2 linked regions of the Danio rerio genome follow. The protein of the gene in region 2 purifies or fractionates together with the protein of the main gene of each other region. This does not show direct contact. Links are inferred from orthologs where the notes say so. Each region holds a gene or a part of one and is shown on either strand. Other genes may lie near its edges.

Region 1 (14,911 bases), on a different chromosome or scaffold from region 2:
CAGGCTTTAGGATACACTACCCTAGTAGCAAAGAATTCTAGCCCAGATTTGGCATAAATCTGGCACAGCAGGCATTCAGCTGGCACTGGCGCGCAGCATGTGGGCCAAACATGGCCCTGATTTGGCAGAGCTTATCTTTAAGGTGGGACACAATACTTGGGCCAGATGTAAAATGTAGTATTTGGCCCAGATGTAATAATTGATATGTGGGCCCTGTAAGTTTTTGGTCTTGATCCCAATTTAAAATAAATTTTTATCATTTTAAAATAAATAAATAAATTCTACCAATCAGGTCGCTTCGAGAAAAAGCATGCCCATAGCTGCCTAAAGTGAAATGCTTATGGGTTTATCAATTTCATTGCAGTCCCCACAGAGCAAATGTTTTCTGGCCCAGCTCCGGGCCACACAATATCTTTTCCTTTGGCCCAAGTATGGCGGTCCTGAAGTGGCCCATAACTGGATTAAACACAAGGCCCACACATGGGCCATCACCGGCCTAAATCTCAGCCAATTTAACACCCTTAACTGGCCCTGAACTGGGCCAAAACAGGTTTATTATTGGTCCTGATTCTCAGCTATAAGTTTATACTTTAACCAGAAACTCCAAAAACTGAGCCATAACCCAGCCTGATCTGGGCCACACACCTTCCATTCACAACTGGCCCAAATGTAGTTTGCCATCATGCATACAGTGCCATCATTGCCATTGCATTCGGCTGACATTATGCATGCCAGTGCCGGCAACACGACAGCAGTGCCATAATGAGGCCACATTTGGGCCAAGTCCGATTGTTATTTGGGCGTGACGCACCAACATATCTGGCCCAGTTCAGGCTCAGTTCATTCATTCATTTTCTTGTCGGCTTAGTCCCTTTATTAATCCGGGGTCGCCACAGCGGATTGAACCGCCAACTTATCCAGCAAATTTTTGCCCTTCCAGCCGCAACCCATCTCTGGGAAACATCTACAGACACATTCACACACACACACTCATACACTACAGACAATTTACCCTACCCAATTCACCTGTACCACATGTCTTTGGACTGTGTGGGAAACCGGAGCACGCAGAGGAAACCCATGCGAAGGCAGGGAGAACATGCAAACTCCGAGCCGAGGTTCGAACCAGCGACCTTCTTGCTGTGAGGCGACAGCACTACCTACTGCGCCACTGCCTCGCCACTCAGGCTCAGTTATTGGTTATTAACTTGGCTGAGACTTGGCCCAGATATGGTCCAAGTTTAGCTCTTGTCTGGAAGCCAGACTTGATCCAGTCAATTCACTGTGGCATGTGGGCCAAGCAAAAGCTGATTGAGTGGGCCAGAGATATTTTGCTATGTGGGTAGTGTCATCCCCTTTCAGAGTAAAACTGTAATGATATGTGTGTCACTGCTCTTTACTGTAAGACAAAATGATTTGTTTCCTCGGGATCTCCAGGCCCATCTGAGAGGTCACTGAGGCCATTCGGTTCCACATGAACAGCTGTGACTAGATGCCAATTTTACTGGGTGAAACAATGAATACTTGACTCAGTAGCTGTCCCAGTATTAGCCTGATATCTTTGTTTTATTATCCTGATAAGATGCCTGCTAGAGAGAAGGACAGACTTGAAGTAGATAAGTATTCTTTATGTATGTGTCTGTGCTCTTCATTGTCGGAAACATAAAGCGTTCCGACCATCCTGACCACAGAAATATTCTCCTGTTATTTCTGACCTTTGTATGCTTGATGCCCGAGTAATCATTGGAGATATTTTTCAGGCTTGTACGCACACACACACACAATTCATGGAAGTCTATCACGTTTTATAATACCTATCAGATTAAAACACCTGCATGTCTGACGCAGTTGGTGACGCTTGTTAAAGTATAATTATTGCTGATTTGAGATTGTAAGCAGAGAGGCCTATGAACTCTGTGCGAGTGTTGAGGCTGGCTTCTGCTGATGACAATGCAAACTATCCTCAGTAAACTTTATTTAATTAAATCTGACAATGGTTCTTCTCCATCGATTCCCCAACAAGGAGCATACCCGGATAGCATACGAATATGGGCCACTTTAGGCAGACTGGTGGTCTTCCTTTGGCCCAGACAAAATGAATGCGGTTACCTTGTCGGAATGAACTACCAAATTTAATACAGGTGGTCGGCTGGTGAAGTTAGGACGATTCTAAGGGCCCATACATTTAGGGGGCCCCCAGAGACATCATCAAGACATCTTTTAGCTTAGCTTAGCTTAGCATAGATCATTCATTTATCATTCATTCATTTTCTTGTCAGCTTAGTCTCTTTATTAATCCAGGGTCGCCATAGCGGAATGAACCGCCAACTTATCCAACAGGTTTTTATGCAGCAGATGCCCTTCCAGCCGCAACCCATCTCTGGGAAACATCCACACACACATTCATTCACTACAGACAATTTAGCCTACCCAATTCACCTGTACCACATGTCTTTGGACTGTGGGGGAAACCGGAGCACCCAGAGAGGTGCAGGGAGAACATGCAAACTCCACACAGAAACGCCAACTGAGCCGAGGCTTGAACCAGCGACCTTCTTGCTGTGAGGCGACAGCACTACCTACTGAGCCACTGCTTCGTCCTAGCATAGATCATTGAATTTGATTAGACCAGGCATGTCCAAACACGGTCCTGGAGGGCCAATGTCCTGCAAAGTTTATTTCCAACCCCAATCAGCAGAAAGTCCCCTTCCAAAATAATCTGAAGTGCCCCCGCTCTTCTGTTTGCGACAACCATCCCTTGGATAGTCTCTGCACGGGGCTGCAAATCAGGACATACCTGGGCTAGCTAATCAAGCTCTTACTAGGCCAGGGGTTTCCCAACTCGGTCGTGGAGGGCCAGTGTCCTGCAGATTTTAGCTTCATCTTGTCTAAACACACCTGTATAGATGTTTCTAGAAAGCCTAGTAAGAGCTTGATTAGCTAGCCCAGGAGTGTCTGATTGGGGTTGGAACTAAACTTTGCAGGAAACCGGCCCTCCAGGACCGAGTTTGGACATGCCTGGATTAGACAGTTGACAACCAAAAATTAAATTATTTTCTTAATTAAAGCTCAACTCTTCTGTAGTAACATCACATACTAAGACTGTCAGAAAATTAGCAAGATGCTAATGATAAAATCTGATTCAATGATGCTAAGCTAGGCTAAATATGCTCCTGCCAGACTTAGATACCTGGGCTAGCTAATCTAGCTCCTACTAGGCCAGGGGTGTCCAAACTCGGTCCTGGAGGGCCAGTATCCCGCAGATTTTAGCTACATCTTGTCTTAAAACACCTGTAAAGATGTATCTAGAAAGTCTAGTAAGAGCTTGATTAGCTAGCCCTGGTGTATCTGATTGGGGTTCCCTGCTGAAAAAAACAGCTTAAACCAGCCTAGGCTGGTTGGCTGGTTTTAGCTGGTCGACCAGGCTGGTTTTAGAGGGGTTTTGGCCACTTCCAGGCTGGTTTCCAGCCATTTCCAGCCTGGTCTTAGCTGGTCAGGCTGGGAGATGACCAGCTAAAACCAGCTTGACCAGCCTAGCCAAGCTGGGAGTCCAGCCAAAACCAGCTATGTCCAGCTTAAACCAAGCTGGTCAAGCTGGTTTTAGCTGGATTTGGCTGGTAATTTTCCAGCCTGACCAACTAAGACCAGGCTGGAAATGGCTGGAAACCAGCCTGGAAATGGCCAAAACCCCTCTAAAACCAGCCTGGTCGACCAGCTAAAACCAGCCAACCAGCCTAGGCTGGTTTAAGCTGGATTTTTCAGCAGGGTTGGAACTAAACATACTAAGACTGACAGAAAATTAGCAAGACGCTAATGATAAAAACTGATTCAATTATGCTAAGCTAAGCTAAACGTGCTCCTGCCAGACTTGGATACCGGCTGAATGGATTCCAAAGTTGTAACACACAACACAAGGCACAAATCAGCAAATGCGCAGTTTTTATTATCTGCCTAAAAGAATCAACGGGTAAACACAAGCTAGTTGAGCACAGAGAGTCCCTCGATCAACTATAAACCAAACTAAGGCACATTCGGGAAACTATGAAACCAACATACCCAATAAATGCACCTGATCTCAGGTCAGTCAAAGATGCCAGAAAGGCATCAGAATTACCTACTGCTAAGGAAGATTTGTGGGACGGTTTCCCGATCTTGCTAAGGAAATAAGAAGAAGTCTGCAACAAACTAACTAAAAAGTAAGCCAGAGGAACACAACACTGGGAAAATAACAAACAAAAAAAAGCAACACACTCTAAAGATAATACAGAATAACCCATATGTACAATGAAGAATTCATAATTCGTTCATAGAAAGGTATTTGGAATGTAAGTGGTGATAAGAATGGATTTAAAGGGATAGTTCACCCAAAACTGAAAACGTCTGTCATTTACTCACCCTTCACTCAACTGCTAACCATTGACTTAAATAGGTAGGAGAAATACATACTATGGAAGTCAATGATTACAGGTTTCTATCATCATCTAAATATCTTCTTTTGTGTTTAACAGAAGAAAGAAAATCAGAGCAGGGGCCTCCAAACTCAGTCCTGGAGGGCCGGTGTCCTGCATATTTTAGTTCCAACCCCAATTAAACACACCCGAGGCAGCTAATCAAGCTCTTTCTAGGTGTACTAGATCTCCAGGCAGGTGTGTTGGAGGAAGTGTGAGCTAAACTATGCAGGACACCGGCCCTCAAGGACTGAGTTTGGGCACCCCTGTCATAGAGGTTTGGAAACACTTGAGAGTAAATAGTGACAATTATATTAAAAAAAGCTGCAGATGCTGTCATTATTCAAGCCTTAGAAATGTAAAGACCTGAATCTTTACCTCCTGTCAGACCAATTTATACATCTACTTGTGCACTATAATCACAAAAACATCCTAGTGTGAGAGCATTTAACACTGAAAACATCCTCAATTAGATCCACATGGTCTGTACTGTTGTTAGACCTTATGGGATAGTTCACCCATAAAATTAAATGAATCACCCCTTATGTGGCTCCAAACTGCTATGACTTTTTTTGTTGCCGTCCTAAAAATGTTTTTTCAAATATAGAAAACAGATATTTTGAAGAATGTTGAAAACCAAAACCCACAATGACATCCATAGTAAGAAGAAAATGCCCTGGAGTTTCCAACGACCTTCAAGATATCTTCCTTTGTGCTCAACATTCATGGATGAACCTTCCCTTTAGCAGGAGGATGAGTAGATGAACACGACAGCTTTTTGTTTTAGCGATGAATTCCCTGCTGAAAAATCCAGCTTAAACCAGCCTAGGCTGGTTGGCTGGTTTTAGAGGGGTTTTGGCCATTTCCAGCCTGGTCTTAGCTGGTCAGGCTAGAAAAATGCCCAGCTAAATCCAGCTAAAACCAGCTAAAACCAGCTTGACCAGCCTGGATTAAGCTGGACATGGCTGGTTTTGGCTGGGCACCCAGCCTGGCTAAGCTGGTCAAGCTGGTCCCAGCCTGACCAGCTAAGACCAGGCTGGAAATGGCTGGAAACCAGCCTGGAAATGACCAAAACCCCTCTAAAACCAGCCTGGTCGACCAGCTAAAAGCAGCCAACCAGCCTAGGCTGGTTTAAGCTGTTTTTATCAGCAGGGTTATCCTTTTAAATCAAGTAAGTAGAGATGAAGTCTACAGAACGGTGAAACCCTGAACCCAAGTGGAAGCCTGTGGTATTTCATAGACTTCCTGACACTCCAATTCAAGCAGGGGTGTCAAACTCGGTCCTGTAGTGCCGGTGTCATAGTTTAGCTCCAACTTCCTTCAACACACCTCCTTGGAAGTTTCTAGTATACTTATAAAGAGCTTGATTAGCTGGTTCAGATGTGTTTAATTGAAATTGGAACTAAAATAAGCAGGACACCGGCCCTCCAGGATCGAGTTTGTACACCCCTGGTCTACACCTTCCTATAAAACCTGCATCAAAATACATAGAAACCTGACGGTGTAGAGTTCAGAAGCAAAAACCTCTAGTTGCCATCTAAAGTGAGCACTTTTGTCAGCTTCCTCTGTTTATTTTCACTAATTTCACTTTAAACGCAATAAAAGGGAACTCTTAACTGCCATGAAAGTGAAATTACTGAACCTACAGAAGAGAGGATGAAAATAAAAATGCTCATTTTAGAACAGGCATGTCCAAACTCGGTCCTGTTGTGCCAGTGTCCTGCATAGTTTAGCTCCAACTTCCTTCAACACACCTCCTTGGAAGTTTCTAGTATACCTAGAAAGAGCTTGATTAGCTAGTTCAGGTGTGTTTAATTGGGGTTGGAACTAAAATAAGCAGGACACCGGCCCTCCAGGACCGAGTTTGGACACCCCTGGTCTACACTTTCCAATAAACCTGCATCAAAATACATAGAAACCTAATGGTGTAGAGTTCAGAAGCAAAAACCTCTAGTTGCCATCTAAAGTGAGCACTTTTGTCAGCTTCCTCTGTTTATCTTCGCTAATTTAACTTTAAACGCAATAAAAGGGAACTCTTAACTGCCATGAAAGTGAAATTACTGAACCTTCAGACGAGAGGATGAGAATAAAAATGCTCATTTTAGAACAGGCATGTCCAAACTCGGTCCTGTTGTGCCGGTGTCCTGCATAGTTTAGCTCCAACTTCCTTCAACACACCTCCTTGGAAGTTTCTAGTATACCTAGAAAGAGCTTGATTAGCTAGTTCAGGTGTGTTTAATTGGGGTTGGAACTAAAATAAGCAGGACACCGGCCCTCCAGGACCGAGTTTGGACAGCCCTGGTCTACACTTTCCAATAAACCTGCATCAAAATACATAGAAACCTAATGGTGTAGAGTTCAGAAGCAAAAACCTCTAGTTGCCATCTAAAGTGAGCACTTTTGTCAGCTTCCTCTGTTTATCTTCGCTAATTTAACTTTAAACGCAATAAAAGGGAACTCTTAACTGCCATGAAAGTGAAATTACTGAACCTTCAGACGAGAGGATGAGAATAAAAATGCTCATTTTAGAACAGGCATGTCCAAACTCGGTCCTGTAGTGCCGGTGTCATAGTTTAGCTCCAACTTCCTTCAACACACCTCCTTAGAAGTTTCTAGTATACCTAGAAAGAGCTTGATTAGCTGGTTCAGGTGTGTTTAATTGGAACTGGAACTAAAATAAGCAGGACACCGGCCCTACAGGACAGAATTTGGACACCCCTGGTCTACACTTTCCAATAAACCTGCATCAGAATACATAGAAACCTGACGGTGTAGAGTTCAGAAGCAAAAAACCTCTAGTTGCCATCTAAAGTGAGCACTTTTGTCAGCTTCCTCTGTTTATTTTCACTTATTTCACTTTAAACACAATAAAAGGGAACTCTTAACTGCCATGAAAGTGAAATTACTGAACCTACAGACGAGAGGATGAGAATAAAAATGCTCATTTTAGAACAGGCATGTCCAAACTCGGTCCTGTAGTGCCGGTGTCCTGCATAGTTTAGCTCCAACTTCCTTCAACACACCTCCTTAGAAGTTTCTAGTATACCTAGAAAGAGCTTGATTAGCTGGTTCAGGTGTGTTTAATTGGAACTGGAACTAAAATAAGCAGGACACCGGCCCTCCAGGACCGAGTTTGGACACCCCTGGTCTACACTTTCCAATAAACCTGCATCAAAATACATAGAAACCTAATGGTGTAGAGTTCCAAAGCAAAAACCTCTAGTTGCCATCTAAAATGAGCATTTTTGTCAGCTTCCTCTGTTTATCTTCACTTATTTCACTTTAAACACAATAAAAGGGAACTCTTAACTGCCATGAAAGTGAAATTACTGAACCTACAGACGAGAGGATGAGAATAAAAATGCTCATTTTAGAACAGGCATGTCCAAACTCGGTCCTGGAGGGCCAGTGTCCTGCAAAGTTTAGTTCCAACCCCAATCAGACACACTTGGGCTAGCTAATCAAGCTCTTACTAGGCTTTCTAGAAGCATCCTTGCAGGTGTGAAGAGCAAAAATCCGCAGGACACCGGCCCTCCAGGACTGAGTTTGGACACCCCTGTTTTAAAACATATCAGTTGGTTTTTAGATGTGAGCTCTGTGTATTGTATACAGGCACGCGTCTCATCTTCTCATCTCATCTCATCCATGCCCCTCTGTTCATTCCTGTGATGGCGTGGGGCGGCAGCTGAGGCTGGCCTGGTGGAACAGGAGGAGGAGGGTACCCAGCAGGCGGTAAACCCATTCCCGGAGGGGGTACGTTGTGCCCTGGTGGCATGTGTGGCGGCGGAGGCGGGTAGCTAGGGTTGTACCCTGGAGGAGGGTAAGCTGGAGTGGGTGGGGGCAGATTGGGAGGAGGGTAAGAGGCTGGAGGCGGAGGACCTGGAGGGGGAGGGTTTGTGTGCGCATAGACATGTGGGTGATAGGCCATCCTGTACGAAGGGGGCATGGGCGCGTAGGAGGGCCCTTCGGTCTTCATCATAGACTGCAGACTCTGAAACCCCTCCCCAGACATGTAGGAACTGGACGTGGACATGCCCATGATGTAGCTGGAGGGTGGAGGCGGCGGTGGGCGGTGTGGCAGAGGGGGAGGGGCTCCGTGTGGCAGAGGAGGAGCAGGTCCTTGTGCTGGGTCCAGTTCTGATGCCGCAGCTGGCTCGGCTTCTGCAGGAGGTGCTGGGATGGCAGATGGAGTCTTGCGTTCTGTGTAGTAAGATGTCAGAGGCATTATTAGTGGTTGCGTTCATTACATTTTAAACTGCACGAATCGAAAAATGCCTATGGATCTTTTTTACAAGATTGATATGATGTCTTTAATGGTCATCAGCATCTTGAATCCTTAAAGGCTTTTATTATTTAAATTTTTAAATAAACGAGTGAACATTTCTACTCAGGGGCGGACTGGCCATCTGGCAATTTTGGCAAATGCCAGAAGGGCCGGACCAATTTTTAAATGTGGGCCGGTCAGTTTTTTTTTTAATATGTATTTTTTTATGTGCAGACAGCTTTTATCTCTTGCTAGATATGATATCATGATGATGATGATGATAAAAATAATAATAATAATAATAAATGTTAAGCATTCGGCCCAATCGGCAACTGCCGTCTGGTTTCAAGACCCAATCCAAGGTTACCCGGACATAATCAAAATTTGGCAAGAATGTCATATTATTTCACCATCTTTACACTAAAATAAATAGTGAATATGCATGTCCGTGGGTGGGTCTGTATCGTGTGGTAATGTGGGCTGGTGTGGCAACTAGTGCCAGGGCTGAATTTTTGTCCCAGTCCGCCCCTGTTTCTACTTATTTATGTATGTGTTACATCATCTTTGCATAAAATTACAAAAATAGATTAAGGCCTCGTTTACACTAGCGCGTTTTAGTTTTAAAATGGCGTTTTAGATCAAAAATCATCCGCGTCCACACTAGCGTTTCCGAACATATCCACACTACGCCACCAAAAACGTATATCACGTGACCATTCGCGCACTCTGAGCATGCGCATTCTAGAATAAACAGAAAGCATGTGTCTCGCTCGGCAATGAATGTACATTTTTAAAGTTCCGTCTTTTCTTTTCCTTTATTTTTTAAACATTACTTATTGTGTGTGATGAGCAGGGCCAGACGGAATCTGCAGATGTTTTTTGCTATTTCTGCGGAGAATTTTGGTAACAGTCTGTGGATTTCTGCGGAATTATTTTGGGAGTGTCACAACTAAAACCTCAATATGTGAAATAAAAAGTAATCCCTTTTAAACTTTTATTTAATGTTTACAATGCAAATCCAATTAGATTGACTTTATTTGCCAAACAAAGCAAGTCTCTCATATAATATCTCTACTAAAAGACAGAAAATATTACTGTACAAACTGCATTGTACATAAATCAGATGAACATTTTTACATTAGTCAATAATTTTACCGAAATAAATAAAAAAAAAAAACTGAATAAATAGATTTACACACATTTAATCAAGTCAAAAAACAATTAATGATGGGCTAAAAATCTGCGGAGTTCTGTGCGAAGATTTATTGTGCTGCTTCTTTTAAAACAAAGCAAGTCTCACCAGGGGGTTGAGAAACAGGAAGAGGTGGCATGGGACTCTCCAGACGTGGTATCTTAGAGCCGACTTGCTCTGAAACAGTGACAGAGAGTAATTTACACTTAATACAATAGGAAACTCATAATCCCACAATAGACCTTGGTTCTCGTGAAACTATAAAATGTCCTTTGCAAGCAAAATTATTTACCTGCTGGAGCTTTAGGTTCATCTTTAGGAGAGACCTACAAAACAACACAAAAAGATAGGAGTTTTAGATTACCTAACGCATACAGAAGCTATCTAACCAATCCTTTCATTTTCTTCTTAAGCCTAGTTCACACTACAGGATTTCAAACATCAGCAGATCGCTGTGCCGTTCACACTACATGACTTGACTTTGTGTTTTTTAATCTCTGTGGTGTTCACACTACGCGACACTACGTGAATGATCCACAAGAGGGGGTCACACACTACATGATCTGACAACAACTCATTCCCCATCAGCTCATTCAAGCTACCAAACCACAGCCAATGAAATTTTGAGGGAGGAGTCGTCAGAAAAAGCTGAGCACTATTGGCTGCTTGTGTGCTGATGACAACACTGACAGCGTTTCAAGCTTTGGAGAAAGCATTTAAAAACATCGTCAAATCAGCTGATTTATCAGCGGATTAATCACTCATCTGCAGGTTCCAGTGGATAGATACACAGAGTTTTTAATTTTTTGTAATTTTATAACTATTTGAAATAAAACTAACATATCTATAACACCCTGCTGTTTTCTAACTATCAGTGTATTTCTTTCTGACATTGTTTTTTTTTTTTTTTTTACAAAACAGTAAAGAACTGAGCATTTCTGCCTTAAATTACCATATTGGTCAAAATGACTGCATGCATGTCTGATACTTTTCGCTGTGACTTTAAATATGTGTGCATTTTCTTGCCTGGCAACTTCCTGCTAACATAAACAAAACTTTCTGATGGCAAAAACATCAATTTACTCCAGATATCTTTCAAAACAGCATATTCTGTACCGTTAAATAGCTCCTGTTTGAAAGTGAAAATGAAAGCCAAGACCTTTAAGTGTTCTAGTATCTTAACTACATATTTATAGGCTGTATTTCCAAAAAAAAGATTATATTTTTAGGGTAATGGTGTCATTAAATATGATGCCAGACATTCAAAGCTTAATTTTAATATCTCAATAATAGCTTTGAATGTAAATATGTTGTGGCAATATGGTGTTTTATATGAGGACGGTCAGAATGAGCAGTATGGTAATTCTAATAGTTACAGAATTCTAGTTCCACTGTTAATATAGCCTACTCTCGTGTCTGTGCTAACGCAGAATGAAGCGAGTGCACTGATGCCCATTCTGACCAATCACAGATGTTTCTGCTGAGCTCCTGAACACACAGGCATTCAGCTCATGCTGATATGCTCTCTCATTGGCTGCAGCTCGTCACTACATCTGACCACACGTGGGGTTGAGTCGGCCGACTGGTCTGGAATATTGAGCATGCTAAATGTTGGATTTCCGTCTGCGAGGTGTCGGCGACGCGTTAACGAGCCCCGTTGATGCGTTGTTCAGTAGTTCACACATAAAGAGTGGCGAGCGCCGAGCACCCGCAGATTTCTTCCCGATCACAGCCCGATCTGTCGGCGAGCTAGTTTACTTCCAAATCAGGCTCAAATCAGGCTTAAAATCCTCTAGTGTGAACTAGGCTTAAAGAAGCAGCTTGCTTGTTTGTTTTTAACAGTGAAGCAAAAAACTATAAACTAAACTATAGTAAATATACTGTGATGATGTGAGAAATGTTGATGGCGTCTGAATGATTTTTGGTTTAACTGTGTATCGTAGCCCATAGTAAATGCTTTACTTACATGTTGGCGTTTAATCTTGGCGGGCGGGCTGGCCTGGGGGGAGTTCTTCTTGGAGGGAGGTTGAGCGGGTGGGTTCTGCGCCCCTGATTGGCCGGGAGGAGCAGCGGGAGGGGGTGGCGGTTTCTCTTTGTCCTGCATCGGAGGCTGCTGGGGGATCGGCTGCTTACCCTGAGAGTACAAATCCAGAATCTGGTGGCAGATATCTGTGAACCACAAGAGCAATACCATAAGATACAGAAGGTAAGCAGTGAAATAAGTCACAATAAATCTTAAGGAATCAAGACTTGAGATTTCATCAAACTTCTGAGTTTAGAAATGTAGGGTGTTTGAAGGTATTGCTGCATAGTATTGGAAAGTAATGACATTGCAGAACGGTTTTAAAAAACAAACATCTCCACCATGTTGCCTTCAAATAAAACCTCGTCATGCCAACATGTTACTGTAAACAGAGGCTTAACTCTGGCCCTGTCTCTGAGTTCTTCTGATTGGTCCACAGCTTTAGAGCTGACGTTGGTGAGTGGTGCAAAGAGGTTACATGGTCTTGAATAAAACCGTTTAAAAATACTGTTAGGTATGAGATGTTAACCGGTCTCAAGGGTTACCGTGGCTTGAAAAAGTCGTGGTTAAAAAAAGTAGTTTCTTTACACTTAAACAGAACATTTTAAAGTGCACCTATGGTGAAAAATCTACTTTTCAAGCTGTTTGGACAGACATGTGTGCAAGTATAGTGTACAGACCGTCATATTGGGGTGATATAAACGCACACAGTTCTTTTTTTTTTCAATTTAACAACATAAAAACAGTGGACCAATTGGAGCGATTTTCAGACCGACCACAACTTTACGTAGGAGTGCGGTCCCCCCGCCCACCAATATTGATTGACAGCCTTGCGTCACGATAATATCCTCAGTTTCTTGTTGCACGTATGCCATTTTCAGCATGTGAGTCAAAGCAATATCACTAAAGGAACACCCGTGCTCTATTTTATGATAAAAGGCTCATTGGGCTCAACACAAGTTCAATATTCTCCACATTAATTGCTGTAATCGGATTTATTGCTTGTACCTTTTGCGCGGCGCCGTGCATTTCGGAGTTCTGGGTGTGGGTTTCTGTCGGGGTGCACGTGGCGGAGCTTCGGGTCAGCGGCTCGGCGCAGCTTTCTGTCGGGGTGCATGCGGCAGAGCTTCGGGTTGGCAGCTCGGCGCGGGGTGGGTTTCTGTCGGGGTGCACGCGGCGGAGCTATGTGTCAACGCCGTAGCATAAGCGTGCTTTTGACGCAGAAGTATAAATCAGCCTTTAAGCACCGAACTCACTCTGGAAGTCCCAGAAGTCATTGCGACTGGAGGTGGGAAGCGCAGCATTTTATCTAGATTTATTATTAAAGTTCAGAGATATCACTGATTTACCTCAGGAGTTTCCCTAAATAAAACGGTGAAAGTAAACAAAACCATGAACATCTTAAGTGGAATAAACACATTAAGGGTGTTTGTTTGCTGAAATTCATATTAAAATCTGTTTATTTATATTGTGCTGAGTATATTTATAACGTTTTCATGCATAGTATATATTTTGAAGACGGGGAAAAACAATAAATCCCTGTATGAAGGCTGTAATGTTGAAATAATTTACCATTTAAAACAAGTGAAGGTCATGTGACCATCAAGAAGAACGCAGCATCTCATTTCTCACAGGACACGTTCTCTGTCCACGCGGTCTCCCGAGTTCGTTCTTCCGAGGACACAACCGGGCTCCACAAGAACGAAAGTCCGTTCTCTGCGTACTTGGAATTGAGAAACAGCCCTAGTTTGGACACCCCTGCTCTATATGGTAGATTTTAAAGCTATGGATTGTATCCTACTGTATGGTATTATACCTTATGATGTGCAAGCTGATGTCTGAAACTTTTTATTGTGTAGCCTTTTAAAAACGCATGCCGTGTCAAACACATGATGCAGTCTCTTACCTTCCAGCAACTCCACTGGAACATCCTGGACAAACTGCTCCCACCAGCGGCGAGACGACTGCTTAGAAGTCCACTCCTGAATGTCAAACTTGCAAAGCCGGCCAGCAAGGTACATCACCGCCACTGCTATGATCTCTGGCTCCCACTGAAGCGACAGCATCGTGCAGAGGCTGGAAAATACACACAAACGAAATCCACACTGAGGTAGTGACGGCAGCTTTCCAAACATTGCCTCATGAAGCTTTGAATTCTTTATGAATGTGTTGTTTCAAATTGATGACAGTGTGATTTCAGTGAATGACGCTACAAATTCATTACATCATTTGTGTCATAAAATGTTTCATAATAGAAGATATTTTGAAGAAAGCTCTAACCATTGACTTCTATATCGTAGAAAAAATGAATTCCATGCAACTCAATGGTTACAGGTTTCCAACATTCCAAAGTATCTTCTAACAGAGAAAAGAAGAAGTCTTAAGGCTCCTACACAACGGGACCCTTTTCGTTTGCGTTTATCGTCAGCGTTTTACTAGACGTTTTTTCGCATTCAAACCCAAGCGATTTTAATCTAGGGTCAAGCAGAAGAGTACGCAAAATCACTCCTTGACGTTAGATGGCGCTAGACAACTTTAAGGGCTTTATTTTGACAGTCCATGCGCAGAGTGCAAAGCGCAGGGCGCAAACGCTTTCAGGGCATGTCAGAACGCATTTTTGCTAATTTAAGGACGGGAAAACCTGCTTTGCGCCGTGGCGCATGTACTAAAAGGGTTGAGTTTATTTTCTTAATGAGTTATAAGTGTGTTTTGAGAATAAACCAAATAGAGTCTCATCTCCCATTCCCTTTAAGAGCCAGCTGCGTCGCGCCATAAGCGCATTCGCTATTTACAGGACGCAAAGTAAGTCTAAGTGGAAAAACTGAGCATTTCACAAGCAAACAGTTAACAGTTTTTTTTTAACAGAAAACTGTTAAACAGAGCACCTACTGCTGAGAATGAGAGATAATCAATCTACTTTCACTTTCACTCGTGGATAGGGAAACCTTTACGCACAGACATCAATTAGTCTATAAATAATTAAT
Region 2 (15,744 bases):
CTCCCATATATATATATACATACATACATACACACACACACGTGTTTGTGTGTGTGTGTGTGTATATATATATATATATATATATATATATATATATATATATATATATACACATACATACATACACACACACATATATGTGTGTGTGTGTGTGTGTGTGTGTGTGTGTGTGTGTGTGTGTGTGTATATATATATATATATATATATATATATATATATATATATATATATATATATATATATATATGATATAATTTAAACAACATATAATGAACAAATGCTAATCATTGCGCTAAACAAACAAACAAACGAGCAGCGTGTGTACGGAGAGGGTGTTAAAGGTGTCCGCTCACCTGCTTTAGCGTATTCAGACGCAGCGCTGTCATAATCAGGCTTCCACTTCATAAAGCTCGTCTTTAAGCTGCATTGAATAGGAAATACAGATGTTTACTGTTCACACACCCACCATCAAGCGATCACCTGGACAGCCTAAAGCAGGTAATACGTTAAAACAACAGTAAACGCTGACATTCGACACGCTGCTCGGTTATTAAAGCCATTACAATTTGATATTCGTCAGAAAATGTACATTAGAGAGGAGCGAACGTGCGGTCATGTTCATTCACAGGCGCTACAGTACAGACTCAACAGCTTTACTCACTATTTCTCCGCCTTGGCGATGTGCTCGTGAGCTTCGCTGATTTTCTGCGCCATAATCGTTACACATAAATGATTAAATACTGTAAATAAACCTTCGTTTGTCGCTCGCACGCTGGATGTGTTGTCAGCTGACGATGATGATTGTGAGGCGAACGTTTTCTTCCGGGTTACTACGTCATCTGCGGCACGTCACTTGTTCGTCCTTTATTGGGCATAACCAAAAATAATCATCGTTTAAACTGTTTTGTAGCGTTTTTTCATCATTTATCATATCGCATTTACATAAAGACATCTCTGCGATTTTATGTCAGATACGTGTTTGTTTTATGCAATGTTTTTAAAAAGTGCGCGCAGCAACGCTTACGTTGAAACGCTTTCTGAACTTTAGGACACGTCCTCGGGGGTTATTATTATCATTTACACGACTGACGTACATTATATCACAAAACGTTCAGATTTAACTCACCGAAACAAAACGCGATGACCGCTGTTGAGAAAGGTGACGGATAACACGTGACACTTCCTATTCACCCCAACGTAGACGCTGAGCGCACCGATTAATGATGATGATGAACTTCGCTTATTTGATCACAATTAACGATTCACTAATTATAAGAATAAAAACTGACAGAAAGTTCACATCATTAAGTATTTTGCCGTCCTCTTATCTAAACGATGCACCGCAAGAAGCAGTTTTTACAATATTTTATACAAGCAACGATCATTGATCATTCACTTGCTGATTAACCCCACTAACAGCTTTTCTCTGCAAAAACGCTAACTAAACGTATTGAAATTCTTAAACATTCAAAACGATCATTTTAAACACTGCAAGTCAACGCACTGGAACACAATGCAGATCCGACACAGAGGAAATATCCAGCGAGCGGCGGCTCTGTGGGCGCAAACGCCTAGTCGATGCCAGAGGAGAATGGCCAGACCGGTTCCAGCACAGAAAGGCGACAGTGACTCAAATAAGCATTCGGTACAACCGAGCTCTGCAGAAGAGCATCTCCGAACGCGCAACACGTCCAACCTTGAGGCGGATGGGCTACAGCAGCAGAAGAGCACACGGGGTGCCGCTCCTGTCAGCTAAGAACAGGAAACTGAGGCTACAATTCACACAGACTCACCAAAACTGGACAATAGAAGATTGGAGAAACGTCGCTGCTCTGATGAGTCTCCATTTCTGCTGACGCATTCGGATGCTCGGCTCACAATTTGGCCTCGACAACATGAAAGCATGGATCATCCTGCCTCGTATCAGCGGTTCAGGCTGGTGGTGGTGGTGTAATGGTGTGGGGGAGATTTTCTTTGGGTCCATTAGTACCGATTGAGCATCAACGCCACAGCCTACCTGAGAGTTGCTGCTGACCATGTCCATCCCTTTATGAGCACAGCGTCTTCATCTTCCGATGGCTACTTCCAGCAGGATAACGCAGCATGTCGTAAAGCTCAATCATCTCAGACTGGTTTCTTGAACGTGACGATGAGTTCACTGTACTCGAACGGCCTCCACAGTCACCAGAGCTCAATCCAATAGAGCAGCTTTGGGATGTGGTGGAACGGGAGATCGGCATCATGGATGCGCAGCCGACAAATCGAGAGGGTGCTCGCTGCAGAGCCATTTGAGGAGAGGTGATCTCCAGAGAGGGGGAGCATGAGCTGTCGCTCCTCCTACTGTAAGCTGTTTTAATGCGTACACCAACCCCACCCCTAACCCTACCCCCAGTGACATCACTCGTAGAAGAAGTGCAAAAAAGGTGGAGCTCAAGCTTAAGCTCCCCCTCTCTGGAGCTCACCTCTCCTCAAATGGCTCTGCAGCGAGCACCACTTGGACAAATCTGCAGCAACTGCGTGATGCTATCATGTCAACATGGAGCAACATCTCTGAGGAACATTTCCAGTAGCTTGCTGAATCTCCGCCACCAAGGATTAAGGCGGTTCTGAAGGCAAAAGAGGGTACGAATAAAGGTGTACCTAATAAAGCGGCCGGTTACTGTTTTCATCACATGCATATCGTCTACATCAGCGGTTCTCAAACTTTTTTCATCAAGTACCACCTCAGGAAAAATTTGTCTCTCCAAGTACCGCCGAAATGAGCAGTATCGAAACACAGTAGCGCAGTAGGCCCAGTAAAGCAGCTACAACTCTGGACAGTTAAAAAATCATGGCAGATCACCTCAGAAATATAGGCTATATGTCATATATGGCATATTATATACATCATTTTTGGTAAACTTTGAAATGTGTGTAGCATGTACGTGACATATTTCATTCCTTCTCGTACCACTAGAAGGAAACCTGCGTACCACAGTTTGAAAACAACTGGTCTACATGCTTTAACAAAACACACGCACACACACACGCAAACGCAGTGTATTTTACATACATGGCGCACGCACACATCATGCAAATGCTATTAGTATGACTGAGATGCGTTGGGGATACGCTAATCTGAATGCGGTTAATCATGACCCATTAAATGCGAACGCTTGCAAAAAATAAAAACACAGGCACGTCTTCCGTTGTTGGCATTTCTTTAATAAACGTCTGCCAAAGAGGGGGACAAAACATCTTCATACAAAACAAAAAAAAAAAAGAAAGCATCGTCGCTCGTCTCCTCGAGAGAAAAAAAACAAACAAAAAACAGGTCAAACGTCTCTTTAACTATCGATTTTACAATGGCTATAGACAAGAGCTGGTGACGAAACGCAGCGCCGATCCGTTCAGTAGATTCACCAGATCGCACAAGTGCTGCCGGTCTCCCCGGACCCCTCGAAACCTTCGGGCGGAGCCCGGAGCGGTCAAAAATCATCAAGAAAAGAAAAAGAAACCGACCCAAAATAAAACGCCTCACGTCGCCGCTCGTCACGCGCGCAGATGCGGCACAGCGCTCCGCTCGCGTCCGCCTACTTTGTTCAGTAGTGCAAAACATCGTAATACTGGAGGTCCGTCCTTCCGTCCGTCCGTCCTCGCGCAGCTGCTAAAAACACTTACCGCGCGGCGAACGCACGCCCCCGAAACAAAGAAAGGTCTGGTTTTAATTTAAAAGACAGCAGCGGAATACAGATTACCAAACCAAATCCGTCCGGAGAAACCGAACGGATCTACGAAACGGCGCGAGCGGGAAATCCCAAAAAAAAGTTCCCATCGCCGCGTCCGTCCCTCCGGTTTTACAAACGTTACAAACGGGTTTAGTGCTGGTTTCGGGGCGACCGCGCGCCTCTTTCGGAGTCTTTCTTTTCTCCGAGGCGTTCGGGGTCGGTCGGTTCTCTCTCCGCGGGGCATCAAAAAGGCAGTCCTCGACCCCGCAGCGCCGCCGCGTACCCCAGCGATTGGGACGGGGAAGTCCAGGGCTGTCCCGGCGGGGGCGGCGGCGGCCCGTGATTGTACTCGAACCGATGGTCCTGATCTCCGCTGAACACCATGCCATGATCTCCGCGAGCGAAGGCTTCCGGGCCCAGCGGCGCGTGCGGAGGCAGGCCGGCCCCCATCATGCGGCCGAGGTAGCTGTCCGAGAAGCCCGCGTGCGGGAACGGCGGCGGGGGCCGGCCGAAATCTCCCCCGTATCCCGATCCGTCCGGAGGATAGTCCGGCTCCGGGGGTCGAGGAGGTTCCGCCGGTCGGCTCTCGGGGGCGTGCCGGTAGTCCAGGTCGGCGCAGGGCGGAGGTTCCGGGGGTTCCGGGGGTCTCTGGTCCGGCGGGAGAATGGAGAGAGAGTCCAGAGTCCCGGAGGACGGGACGCCGCCGCCTTCCGCATCTGCAACGAAAAACACACGAGGGTGAGAGACGAAAATCACCTACGGCGACACAGAGCTAACGACCGCATCCGCGACGCCCCGCTGTCGAACGCTAGCCTAGAGCGGCGGCGGCGGGGGTCGCTTGGCGATTTCCAAAAATCTGATTCGTTTCGCCCAAATTACCACAACGAGCGCGAGAAAAAAATGCCGCAAGAGAAAAAAATGCCGTTCTGTGGTCGCGGCGCGCATTTTCCGCCGTCGCGTTGCGACCTCCGGGGTGTCGTCACGTCGAACCCGGGCCGGACGATCGAGCTCTCGCTGGGCTTTCCGGAAACGGGCGCGTCCAGCGAAGCTGGAGCCGAAATCTGCGGGACGCCGGCCCTCCGGGACCGAGTTCGGACGCCCCCGCGTTAAAGACGCAGCGGCGGGGTTGGACGCGGAAGATCCGTTTCGCGGCACCGGGGTTAACTTTCCGATGCCTTTGCGGCACTCGGGTACGACGAAACGGAACGCAGGCCGCGACCGAACGTAGCGGATGATCTCCGGCGTTCCCCCAAATTAAACGAACGACGGACTCGGCGCGCGTGAACCGTTTCGCGAGCTTCGCACCTGTACGACCACCTCGGAGGAACACGGAGGGTCGCGAATTGCCGGCGTCGTTTTTTCGGGGGTCGCGGACCGAAAACTTCGGAAACCTTCGGCCTAGAGCGCCGTCTGCTGTTAAACGATAGCCCGCGGTAAACGATTCGTCTGTCGTTCGAGCATTTTCACGAATGCCGTTTTATAGTTCGTAGCGTTATTCCAATCGGGAACGCGGATCGCGTGCAGATAAATCCTTCACCCGTAAAGGACGTCGAGACGGATCCGTTTGTCCATCGTTTATTTTAATAAACGGCCTTACGAAGATACCGCTAACCGGCGCAGCCAGTCTCTCTCCTGCTCTCGGTAACGCAAACGCGTGAATAAATGCGTATAAACGCATGCGCGTTAACTGTCGTTTTCACGATCGAGTTATTTTCCGTCTTTTTTTTCTTCGTCTGAACGCGTTTGACCTCGTCGTAACCGTGATATTTACACTCCTCCGTAAAACGTAATGCATACGTGACCGCACGGGCCGCTTTTCGCTGTACTCCGTGACAAAAAAGGAACGTCGAACGTTGCTCCGCGTCCACGATGGAACTCGCAGGCGTTCGATAGACTCGTTCCTGAGCGATACGCTTATTTAAGCGTGTCTGACGATAACACTACGCAGGCAGATTTATACGCGGTTTTAAAACTTTCGGAACGACCGTAAAGCGAAACGGACGCGTTTCCCGCGAAGCTGGAGCCGAAATCTGCGGGACGCCGGCCCTCCGGGACCGAGTTTTCGCGCATTTGTTTGTTCGTGATATATAGCGTGGATTATAATATAATAAACAGAGAGATAAACTCTTTGTCACGGACGTTATTTCTACAAATAAGTTCGAAAAGTCGTCTGCGGCAGGGCGACGCTGACGTCACAGACGAGCGCCCCGAGGGCTCCGTAGTCCGTTTGTGGCCTAACGCTAGCTTTTCGATTCTTGCGTTCGCATTCAAGATCCAAAAGCGCTCCAACTCGTATTATCGTGCCAGGGTTAGGAGTGTGACGAACGGCGTTCGAACGCGGAGCTTGTTATTCGCGATCTTCGAAAAGCCTAAGGGAATATCCTACAGGGGTTTTCACGACAGAACCGGTTTCATGCCAGCGGCCGATTAGCTTACAAAGCGACGTCGTAGTTCCTCCGCTCCGTCGACAACCTCACGCGGAACCGAATCTGCGTCTCGCGTCTTGCATTTGGCTTCGCCGTTGCTTTTCGAATAAACGAGAACGTTCGCCGAGCGCGCTTCTGAAATATCTGCGCGCGAGTCGTGGAGTGTCCGAAACTCATACGGCGCCTTTAAATGTTCGCACAATCTTTTAAAGGACTCCTGCCGTGCGATCTTACCCGGAGACACGGGGCTGGGCTCCGGCGGCTGTCTGATCTCCGGCGGCGCCGGAGCCGTATTGGGGACTCCTCCGTCCGCTCCGTCGAAGCCCGTCCCGTCCCCCGGCGCCCCCTGCTGGACGTTCAGCAGCTGAGCCAGCAGCATGGTGACGGCGGTCTGCGTGGCGGAGGCCGAGCTCTCTCCGTCGGCCTGCTGCGGGCCGGGCGGAGACGGAGGTTTGGGCATGGGCGGAGTGCGGGGCGCTCCGGGCCCCGACGCGGCCGCCGGGAGGGCTTTAGAGGTTTTGGGGAGCGCGGGCGGCTCCGGGGGACGCTCGGACTCCGGCAGGCCGCACGGCAGGGCTTTGCTCAGCTGCTGCAGCGTCTCAGGGTTCATCTTGGAGCTCACGGTCTGCATGAACTGAGCGGATCCCCCCGCCGCAGAGCTCTTGGACTGCAGCAGATTCAGCAACACCGCCAGCTGATCCTGAGTCAGCTGAGAGTTGGCCGATTTGGGGTCTGTGGGAAAGAGACGGAGATTTGGAAGCAATTTATTCACGTTCGTTCAAATTCGCAAAGCGATCGAATCAGGTGCGCGTGTGCATCTGCGCATGCGCGCGCTCACTCACCCAGTAGGCCCGCAGCGTTTGCGCTGCCCTGCGGTTTGTGTCCTCCCGCGGCGGTGCCGAATCCCTGCGGTGTGTTGCTGCGGCTGTCGTCCAGACCCAGCTCTTTGCGAGGGGCTTTAGGGGCCGTCAGCTCCTCCGGCATCTGTTTCTGCCGCCGCCGCTTCTTACTCCACAGCTCGTGACAGTCCTGCCACAGGGGGAGGCTGAACAAACGCAGACACAGAGACACACACACACAGGGTAAAGATCTGCTCACAGCAACACGCATAACTGTGTTAGCCTCAGCATTAACGCACAGGATCGTTCTGCTCATTAGAAGTGCACGCGCTGATGTGACGACACTCGCTTGAAACGCTCGAGCTCGTTAAAACAGGATGGATTCTGATTGGCCGTCCGTTTTGTTTGTTTTTAGGAGGAAAAATAGGTAAAAAGGTTACAGTAGCACTTCAGCAGATATATCGGTGTAGCTGCGGCTGGGCTGTGCGTCGCTTTATCGTTATAGCCGTCATCCTTGACGTAGACGGCTTTAAGAGATGAATCGATATAATCGGAAAAATGAAAAGCCTGGACTAAAAGATTTTAATGAAATACACAACATTTATTCGTCGTTTTATTTATTTCATATTATCCAAATTATATTTTCTTTACTTAAAATGACACATTTGGATGAATTTTGTGAAACGTTTAGTGAAAAAAATGCCAGGACATCTTTCGCAATGTACTTATTTTTAAATAAATAAATAATAAAGTTTAAGTTTAAATAAATTAACCTACTTTTTCAGGAAAACTTTCTGTAATTTGTTTTTTTTCAGATGAATTGTTTGTTTTGTTTCTTGTTTGTCAGGCCGAAGCCTGCTCTATACTTCCGCGTGGAGCGATCGGCGTGACCCACGGTGCAAGTCTTGCGTGTACTCGTGCGTTTATACTTCCGTGCGCTGCTTGTGTTGCTCTGCAATAACGCTTCCAAAACACTTGATGGCAGTAGGCTTTTATGTTTGTCCGTGTCGAGTTTCACTGCGGGTGTTTTGTTAACGTACGAGTAGCTGAAACTCCCTTAAACCGGCAGATGTGCGACAACTTTAATAGTAAGGTAAACGCGAAACAAAAGTTTCCATCCGGAGCTCCTTCGCGGGAGTCGACACTTGTCCGCGATCCCTCCATCGGGCTCACTGCTCTCAGCATCGGCCACACTCGTCACAGCTACCAAACAGACCGATCGCAGAGCTTGTGCTAGGTGCAGTTGCGGTTACATTTTTTAAAAGGTGTGCGTCAGCGGCGAGGGCTATCGGACCACACGAAGGCTTCGCCGGACCATATGCGTGCGCTTGACGCAGAAGTATAAATCTGCCCTGACGCTTGTAGAAACTCTCAAAAATATATGGAATTTTTATGATAAATATGACTTTGTTTTACTCATCTAAAACATGAATAAACGCTGATGATAAAATCATTTTAATGCATGTGTGTGTTTTCAGGACTACTCGTTCAAAAAAAATACTTATCCAAATGTAATGCCCAAGTCCAATAAATAAATAAATAAAATATAATAATCATAATAATAAAAATATTAATAACTGCAAAACAAAATATTATTCTGGCAAAAAAAAAGAACAACAAACAAAGTAGAAGTACAGGATTAAAGTCGACAGTTTAAAGCTAATCTCTCATACTCGGGTGGAGGCATCTTGGCGGGATCCACGTCTCGGAGGAAGTCGCTGTTCAGGGCCTGTTCTGCAGTGCAGCGTTTGCTGGGGTCCAGAGCCAGCATGTGATCGAACAAATCCAGAGCCATCAGGGGAATACTGAAACAGACAAACCAACGATATTACTTTCAAGACTTTTTAAAGCTGCTGTCTGTAGAGTGTGTGTGAGTTTGAGCTGAGAACAGCACACAGATGACGTTCTCCAGCTCTCTGAAACTGACCCTTTTAGGCTTTGATCCCGATTGTGGTGTTTTGGTGACCGTCGCTTTAAATTCAAATGAGATTGTGCTCTTTTCAGAAGAGGGCGGAGCTACAAATGCCTGCGTGTCAGTATAGTGGCAGATACAAAACAGCACTAGCTGCGTTGTCAGTGCTGCTCGGGTCTGCATGTTGTCGTTGGTCAGTGTGCGCTTCATGCCTCTGTCAGTCTATGCCGCTCCTGTCGCTGTTCATCTAAAACTCCACATCTATAATCCTCCTAGTCTCAGAGTTCTTACACCTTTTCCAACTTCAAATTCCAGCACTTTCCAAGCACTTTCAAGGTGCATTTGTATGCATTTCCAGCACCTAACAACCACGGTTAATCATGTTCATGTATGTTGTATGTACTCATTCACATTTAAATCCATTGTGCTATTTTTAAAAACACAATACGACATTTACACTTAAATTGTTGAACACTTTGGAGCGTAGATTTATTGGGACGGTTCAATAAATAAATCAAAAAAGTACAGTTATTGGATGAAGTAGGTTTTTCAGTTTGGTCTCTTTCTACCTAAAGTTGATATCTCGAGAAATGAGCTCACAGTCAGATTTTGATTGGGTGTAGAACCAAACTTTCGTGACCAGTCATTCATGATATTTCAAGTGCATTGCTTTTTTTTTTTTTTTTACAGTCATTGAATTGGCGTTTCAGATGCAAAGTTGCACTCTGGGCGAATGTTTCCTAAATAAGTATGAAGCTAATAATGCCAAAACAATCTAAATTTGAATAGTTTGAATTCTTAAAAACTTAAAACTGTATTTTTTACATACCCAATATCTGCAGTCTTTGAATTCAGAACCAAAAAATCTAAAGTGTTAAAATATGTCTATAAAAATCTGACTTAAATTTTTTTTTAAATTTTGGATGTTCAATAATCGAGTAAAGAAATTTAAATTCGGTTTAACATTTTTAATAGCATGTGATCACATTTTTTAGCTTACAATTATCATTAATTAAATTTAACACAATTCAAATTCAGATTGTTTTGGCATAATATTAGCTCCATAAAAGCAAGCATGCGGTGAACATTTTGCAATAAAAACTAGTCGCGCAAAAACAATTTAAGCCCTCGCACACATGCTCCCAAACATATTCAGAGGTCACAGATGAAATTTTGCGCACATGCAACCGAAACAGTCAAATTTGAGCCCAGCAATTTCAAATTCAAGCAGATTGTCCAAAATCCAAGCACTTTTCTAACATTGAAAACACTGTATTAAAAATCAAGCGTTTTCCAGGATTTCCAGCACCAGTAACAACCCTGTAGTCTATGCTGACGTCATCTTCAGCAGCTCAAACACTCTCATGGCTAATGCACAGACGGCTGCTTCTCACTGAGGGGCTGCTGTTTATGCTAATGAGGGAGAGATGGCCACTAGTGGGCGGGGCTTACCCCCTCTCATAACAAGGGAGAATGTCAATCAAAATGTTTCTGCAGACTGTTTGTTTACCATTACGGTTTGTAGAAACGCACACACTGCTGACACACAACTGGTTCCAAACCCCTTTTAAAAGCTTTTTTTTTCCTGCATATTAGCTCTCCATAAAATACTGAACATGACCTGCACTTTAAAAACAGACTGAACTTGTGAGATTCCTCTCTGATTACTCACAAAGCGAACTCCTCCCGCAGCCGCCGCCGGTACTGTTTCTTTGGTTTCATGGTGTTGAAGTAGGGCAGTTTGATGACGTCCGGCCACACGGCAGGGCAGGGGCTGCCGCAGATACGACTGCACAACACACAAGATTATTGATTTGTTGGTTATTACTGTATTACTTCTATTTCATGGCAAGATCCCTATATAATCAATAAAACAGTTAACATTACAATAATAACATCGACTTCATGCATTAGCAAGACACTTTTCTACATTTACACTTAACTTACAGTAGAAGAAACGTGCTGTTACCTTATGAGCTCCAGCTGCGCTAGCTCCTGATTGGCCTGGAAGATGGGCTTCTTTGTGAAAAGCTCTCCCAGAATGCACCTGCGTGACGTGAACGGTTCATAAACATTAGGTGAAAATGGGAGCGATGCAGAGCTAGAGTTTCACAGCCGACGATAAACATTCGGTGAAAGCTTAACGTATTTCAGTTCCACAAGGTTGTTTTCACAGCATCGATGCTGTAATGTAATTACAATACATTCGGTTAAATGGATTCGTTTAGTTGTTCAATCGTAAAACGAGATGAACGACAGTTGTAACCGCTAGCGCCGTCACCGGCAACAGGCGAGCGCAGAAATTCCATTGAAAACACTGGGGTAAAATAACCGGCCACGTATTAAAGACACCGCAGGGGGAAACGGAGTTTAACGCAGTGCTGATCCGAGACCCACTTCATATCGTATATCTAACAGGCAGTGAGGAAAGAAATCAGATCTTAAACGTGATATTTTGCGATAGAAAGACGGTTCACCGAAAGCCTGCGGGTTGCCTGGCTGCAAATGAAAAGTCTGTTTGCATGTTGCGCATTAAGTTGTCCTTACAAAACAAGAACTACGTCGTTTTGGCTTATTTTAAATAAGCAGTTTGAATAAGCAGCAAAAATCTTGTTTTATCCGTGATCCATGATGACGATCGTGCTGCAAACATCGATTTGAAGCAGAAACAGTATTTGAAGAAACATCAAGACTGCTTCAATAAGAAAGAACTACAATCCTACGCCATCAACACTTGGCGAATGACAATCTTATTAAAAATCTATCAAAACAAAGCTATTAATTAAAAAAACTGATCAATAAAATTACATTAAGCGTATAAACGTATCTTACATACAGCATTTCATTTGTTGTTAAATTTGTTGTTATACTAGCAGTTATTAATATATTATTTCTTACGTTTAACCACGGGCATCGTGTTATGTGAAAATTAATTAAGAATACAAAACTATATAAAATCAGATTAATAAATAGTAATGACACGCGTATAAACGTGCTGGCGTTTCTGGCGTCTGCTGAGATATAATAGCATTAATAATAATTTCTTACATTATGTTATACATTATATGTAGTGTATTATGGACGCTCAAAGTGTTTTCACACAAGAGGGGGGGGGGGGGGGGGGATCCTCATCCACCACCAGTGTGCAGAATCCACCTGGATGATGCGACGGCAGCCATTTACACCGCAGACCAGCTGATTGGTGGAGAGGAAACAGAGTGATGAAGCCACTTATGATATGGGGAGGGTTAGGAGGCCTTGATGGACAGAGCCCAGTGGGCAGATTTGGCCAGGATGCCGATGTTAAACCCCTACTCTATTTTTGAAGGACATCCTGGGATTTTTAACGACCACAGAGAGTCGGGACCTCGGTTTAACATCTTATCTAAAAGACGGCGCTCACTGACAGTATAGAGTCCCCTTCACTATACTGGGGCATTAGGACCCACACGGACAGCAGGTTGGGCGCCCCTGCCGCCCTCACTAACACCACTTCCAACAGCAACCCAGCTTTCCCATGTGGTCTCCCATCCAGTCACTGACCGGGCCCAGCCCTGCTTAGCTTCAGTTGGCGACCATGTGAGAGTTGCAGAGAGCGAGCTGCCGGCGCTAAAATATACATTTTGCGCAACAATATACATGTTGATGTCAGAATTACTGTTTATTTTTCCCCCTAATTTCTGTTTAACGGAGAGCAGATTTCTTCAGCACATTTCTAATCATAACAGTGTTAATAACTCATCTCTAATAACTGATTTATTTTCTCTTTGTCATGATGACAGCACATAATATTAGGCTAGATATTCTTCAAGACACTTCTATACAGCTTAAAGTCACATGTAAAGGCTTCACTAGGGTAATTAGGGTAACTAGGCAGGTTAGAGTAATTAGGCAAGATACTGTATAACGATGGTTTGTTCTGGAGACCATCGGAAAAGAAATATGTAGCTTACAGGGGCTAATAATTTGACCTTAAAATGGTGTTTAAAAAATTAATAACTGCTTTCATTCTAGCCGAAATAAAACAAATAAGACTTTCTCCAGAAGAACAAATATTATCAGACACACTGCGAACATTTCCTTGCTCTGTTAAACATAATTTGGGAAATATTTATAAAAAGAGAAAAATTAATCAAAAAAATCAAAAGGGGGCGAATAATTCTGACTTCAACTGTACATGTTGAACTGTGTGTTCATGAGGTGCGTGTATACACAAGTTGGGGTTTACTGGGGTACATGCTGAGCTGTATGTTTATTAGGTGTGTGTGTGTCTATACATAAGATTTTGTTAGTAGCATCTCACCCGCAGCTCCAGACGTCGATGGCCGGTGTGTATCGCTCTTCTCCCAGCAGCAGCTCTGGTGGCCGGTACCACAGTGTGATCACCTTATTGGTGTAGGGTCGACTGGAGAACAGCACACACACACACACACACACACACACACACACACACACAATCATAAGTCTGATCTGCTTGATTTACACTCCTCGCGTCTGAAAAATGTCTGGAGTTACGTACCTCTCCTCAGAGTTATACAGGCGAGCCAGTCCAAAGTCTGCCAGCTTGATCTGACCCCTACAATACAACACATATTTACATGTTAATTACATGGCAGATTCGACAGACACATCTCTCGGTCTTCCTTTCTATGAGGTAACTTTTTACAGTGGAATATATATTAATATTGTTATTAATATTAATCGTTTAATATTAATATCTTTACAATTAATATTGTTTTATTTACATTTAGTGCATTTCATTTTAATGCATTGAAAGGAAAATTTCACAATTCTGGACACACTTGGCTAAAACACAAAATGATTGGTAATAAATATTTATTATACATGTATTGTTATATTTATTTTGTTAAAAAATTTTTATTCATCTATTAAAAAAAAAAAAAAAGCCAATAAAATAACCACATTTGTGACCCGGACCACAAAAACATTGATTATTCTGGTAATAAACAAAAATACAATGTATGCTTTTTTATTTAGTGCCAAAAATATTTATAATATTAAGTTAAAAAATTCATATTCTGTTAAGATATTCAGCAGACTGCCTACTGTAAATCCAGCAAAACTCAAATTTTGATTAGTGACATGCATCAGGGCTGCACCATACTGGAAAAATCCAGCATTGCAATATTTTGCCATACAAATTGCGATATGAGATGACTTAATATTTCTATTTGGAAAGAATTTAAAATATTACATCAATCTCCGTAGAATCTAATAAACAATCTATAAATTACCCCGACACCTTTTTCGTTGCAGTGCATTGCTGTATTTCCATGTGTTCTGCGTATTTCCATTAGTCCTTGATTGATGAATTGATGTTTACTATTCGCATCTCCATAAAAACTAATAAACAATCTAGAAACTGTTTAGGGTCACATTTTCGTTGTGGTCTGTACGATTCGCAGTGCATTTCTGTATTTGCATGTGTTGTGAGTATTTTCCTATCTATAAATACAATCAAGACAAAGATACAACAATAGAAAAATAACCGTATTTAAGTACAGTGACTGAATGATAAGAATAATTTTATAAAATCAGTCTTGGGCAGCATGGTAGCGCAGTGGGTGGCACAATCACCTCACAGCAAGAAGGTCGCTGGTTCGACCCATGGCTGGGTCAGTTGGTGTTTCTGTGTGGAGTTTGCATGTTCTCCCTGTGTTGGTGTGGGTTTCCTCCAGGTGCTCCGGTTTCCCCAACAGTCCGAACACATGCGCTATAGGGGAATTGGGTAGGCTAAATTGTGCGTAGTGTATGTGTGAAAGAGTGTGTATGGGTGTTGTCTGGAAGGGCATCCGCTGCATAAAACATATGATCAAACTTTTAAGCTAGAGCTCGGCCTGAATGAATCGATCGCCAGTAGTATCTTGTCAAATCCCACAGTCAACAAAAATCTGAGGTAAACATTCAATAAACCAGAACAAGACAGCCTGACTTCTGTTGTGTATGTGTGTGTGTGTGTGTGTAGTTCTTGACAATAGCAACCCAATGTTCTGAGAATATTCATCAAGCTTACTTTAAAGGTGCTTTGAAGTGCTTTTGAAATGTGCATTTAATATTCAACGTTTCACGTAATCTCAAAAGCGAGAGGGCGGGACATAGAGCAACCCCTCCTCTTTTAAAAAAGCAGCCAATAGCGTTCCGATTAATTACTTAGAGTGGCTGAGCTCAAACGCATCGAATGACGAGCAAATGACAAGCGTCTTGAAGGGAGCGGTGCATGTCAGACACTAGAGAGCATTTGATGGGTCAAAAGATTTGATGGGGTGACGTGAGAAAAAAACCTTGATCCATTTTGGATGACAAACTGCAAGCTTTACATGTCGATATCAGTTTTATATGTTCTTAACGTGAATTTTGTCGTTGTCTTGTATCACGCTAGCTTATAGATAATCCTGAAGACTAACATGCTGATACTGACTTATAAAAAAACTGTCAATCTGACTGGTTTGTTGATTGACAGGAGGCGTGGCTATGCAGAACCACGGTGTGTGATGTAAGCTCAGATAGTAAGCCTTTCTCTCACTCTTCTCTCCATCTAACGCTTTCTCTAAATTAGGGTTGGGCGATGTCGATCAATTTGGCATCATACGATGTCTAATGTGAAACATCGCAATGGATGATGGTATGGTCATCATGTGTAAAGGGTGTTTGATAGAGCGCGCGCCACGTGTCTGAAGAGCGAGGAGGGATCCGGGGGTGAGAAGGGTGCGAGACTTGTTTGAGGACTGGGAGGGAGACGCGCGATTTCTGGGAGATTATCGCTCGTTTGCGGGCATTATAAGTCCCGCAAACGCATTTTAACACTAGGCTGTATCAGTGTAAACAAGGCCTCAGTGTGT

Evidence for each region.
Region 1: the proteins of cdk13 (region 2) and ccnk purify together in Homo sapiens (affinity purification with mass spectrometry; 4 studies listed by BioGRID and IntAct, counting the BioPlex papers as one, with this or other methods). This does not show direct contact. The link is inferred for Danio rerio from reciprocal best matches to the Homo sapiens genes CDK13 and CCNK.

Annotation. Positions count from the first base shown.
Region 1 is NC_133195.1:5,235,963-5,250,873, reverse strand, and holds the end of ccnk (cyclin-K), read right to left. Parts: intron 14,004-14,911; coding exon 13,834-14,003; intron 12,074-13,833; coding exon 11,871-12,073; intron 10,231-11,870; coding exon 10,197-10,230; intron 10,082-10,196; coding exon 10,013-10,081; intron 8,649-10,012; coding exon 8,083-8,648; 3' UTR 7,862-8,082; coding exon of another isoform or gene 7,814-7,861; 3' UTR 7,784-7,813; exon of another isoform or gene 7,360-7,783; 3' UTR 7,047-7,359; exon of another isoform or gene 7,001-7,046; coding exon of another isoform or gene 6,886-7,000; exon of another isoform or gene 6,627-6,885; 3' UTR 4,563-6,626; coding exon of another isoform or gene 4,462-4,562; 3' UTR 3,923-4,461; downstream 1-3,922. UniProt on the Homo sapiens protein: Regulatory subunit of cyclin-dependent kinases that mediates activation of target kinases.
Region 2 is NC_133199.1:1,073,733-1,089,476, forward strand, and holds the end of cdk13 (cyclin-dependent kinase 13), read right to left. Parts: intron 13,461-15,744; coding exon 13,404-13,460; intron 13,290-13,403; coding exon 13,188-13,289; intron 10,932-13,187; coding exon 10,854-10,931; intron 10,674-10,853; coding exon 10,557-10,673; intron 8,778-10,556; coding exon 8,646-8,777; intron 7,179-8,645; coding exon 6,976-7,178; intron 6,866-6,975; coding exon 6,368-6,865; intron 4,424-6,367; coding exon 3,951-4,423; 3' UTR 3,184-3,950; downstream 1-3,183. Other genes in the region: napga (N-ethylmaleimide-sensitive factor attachment protein, gamma a), read right to left, coding at 354-405. UniProt on the Homo sapiens protein: Cyclin-dependent kinase which displays CTD kinase activity and is required for RNA splicing.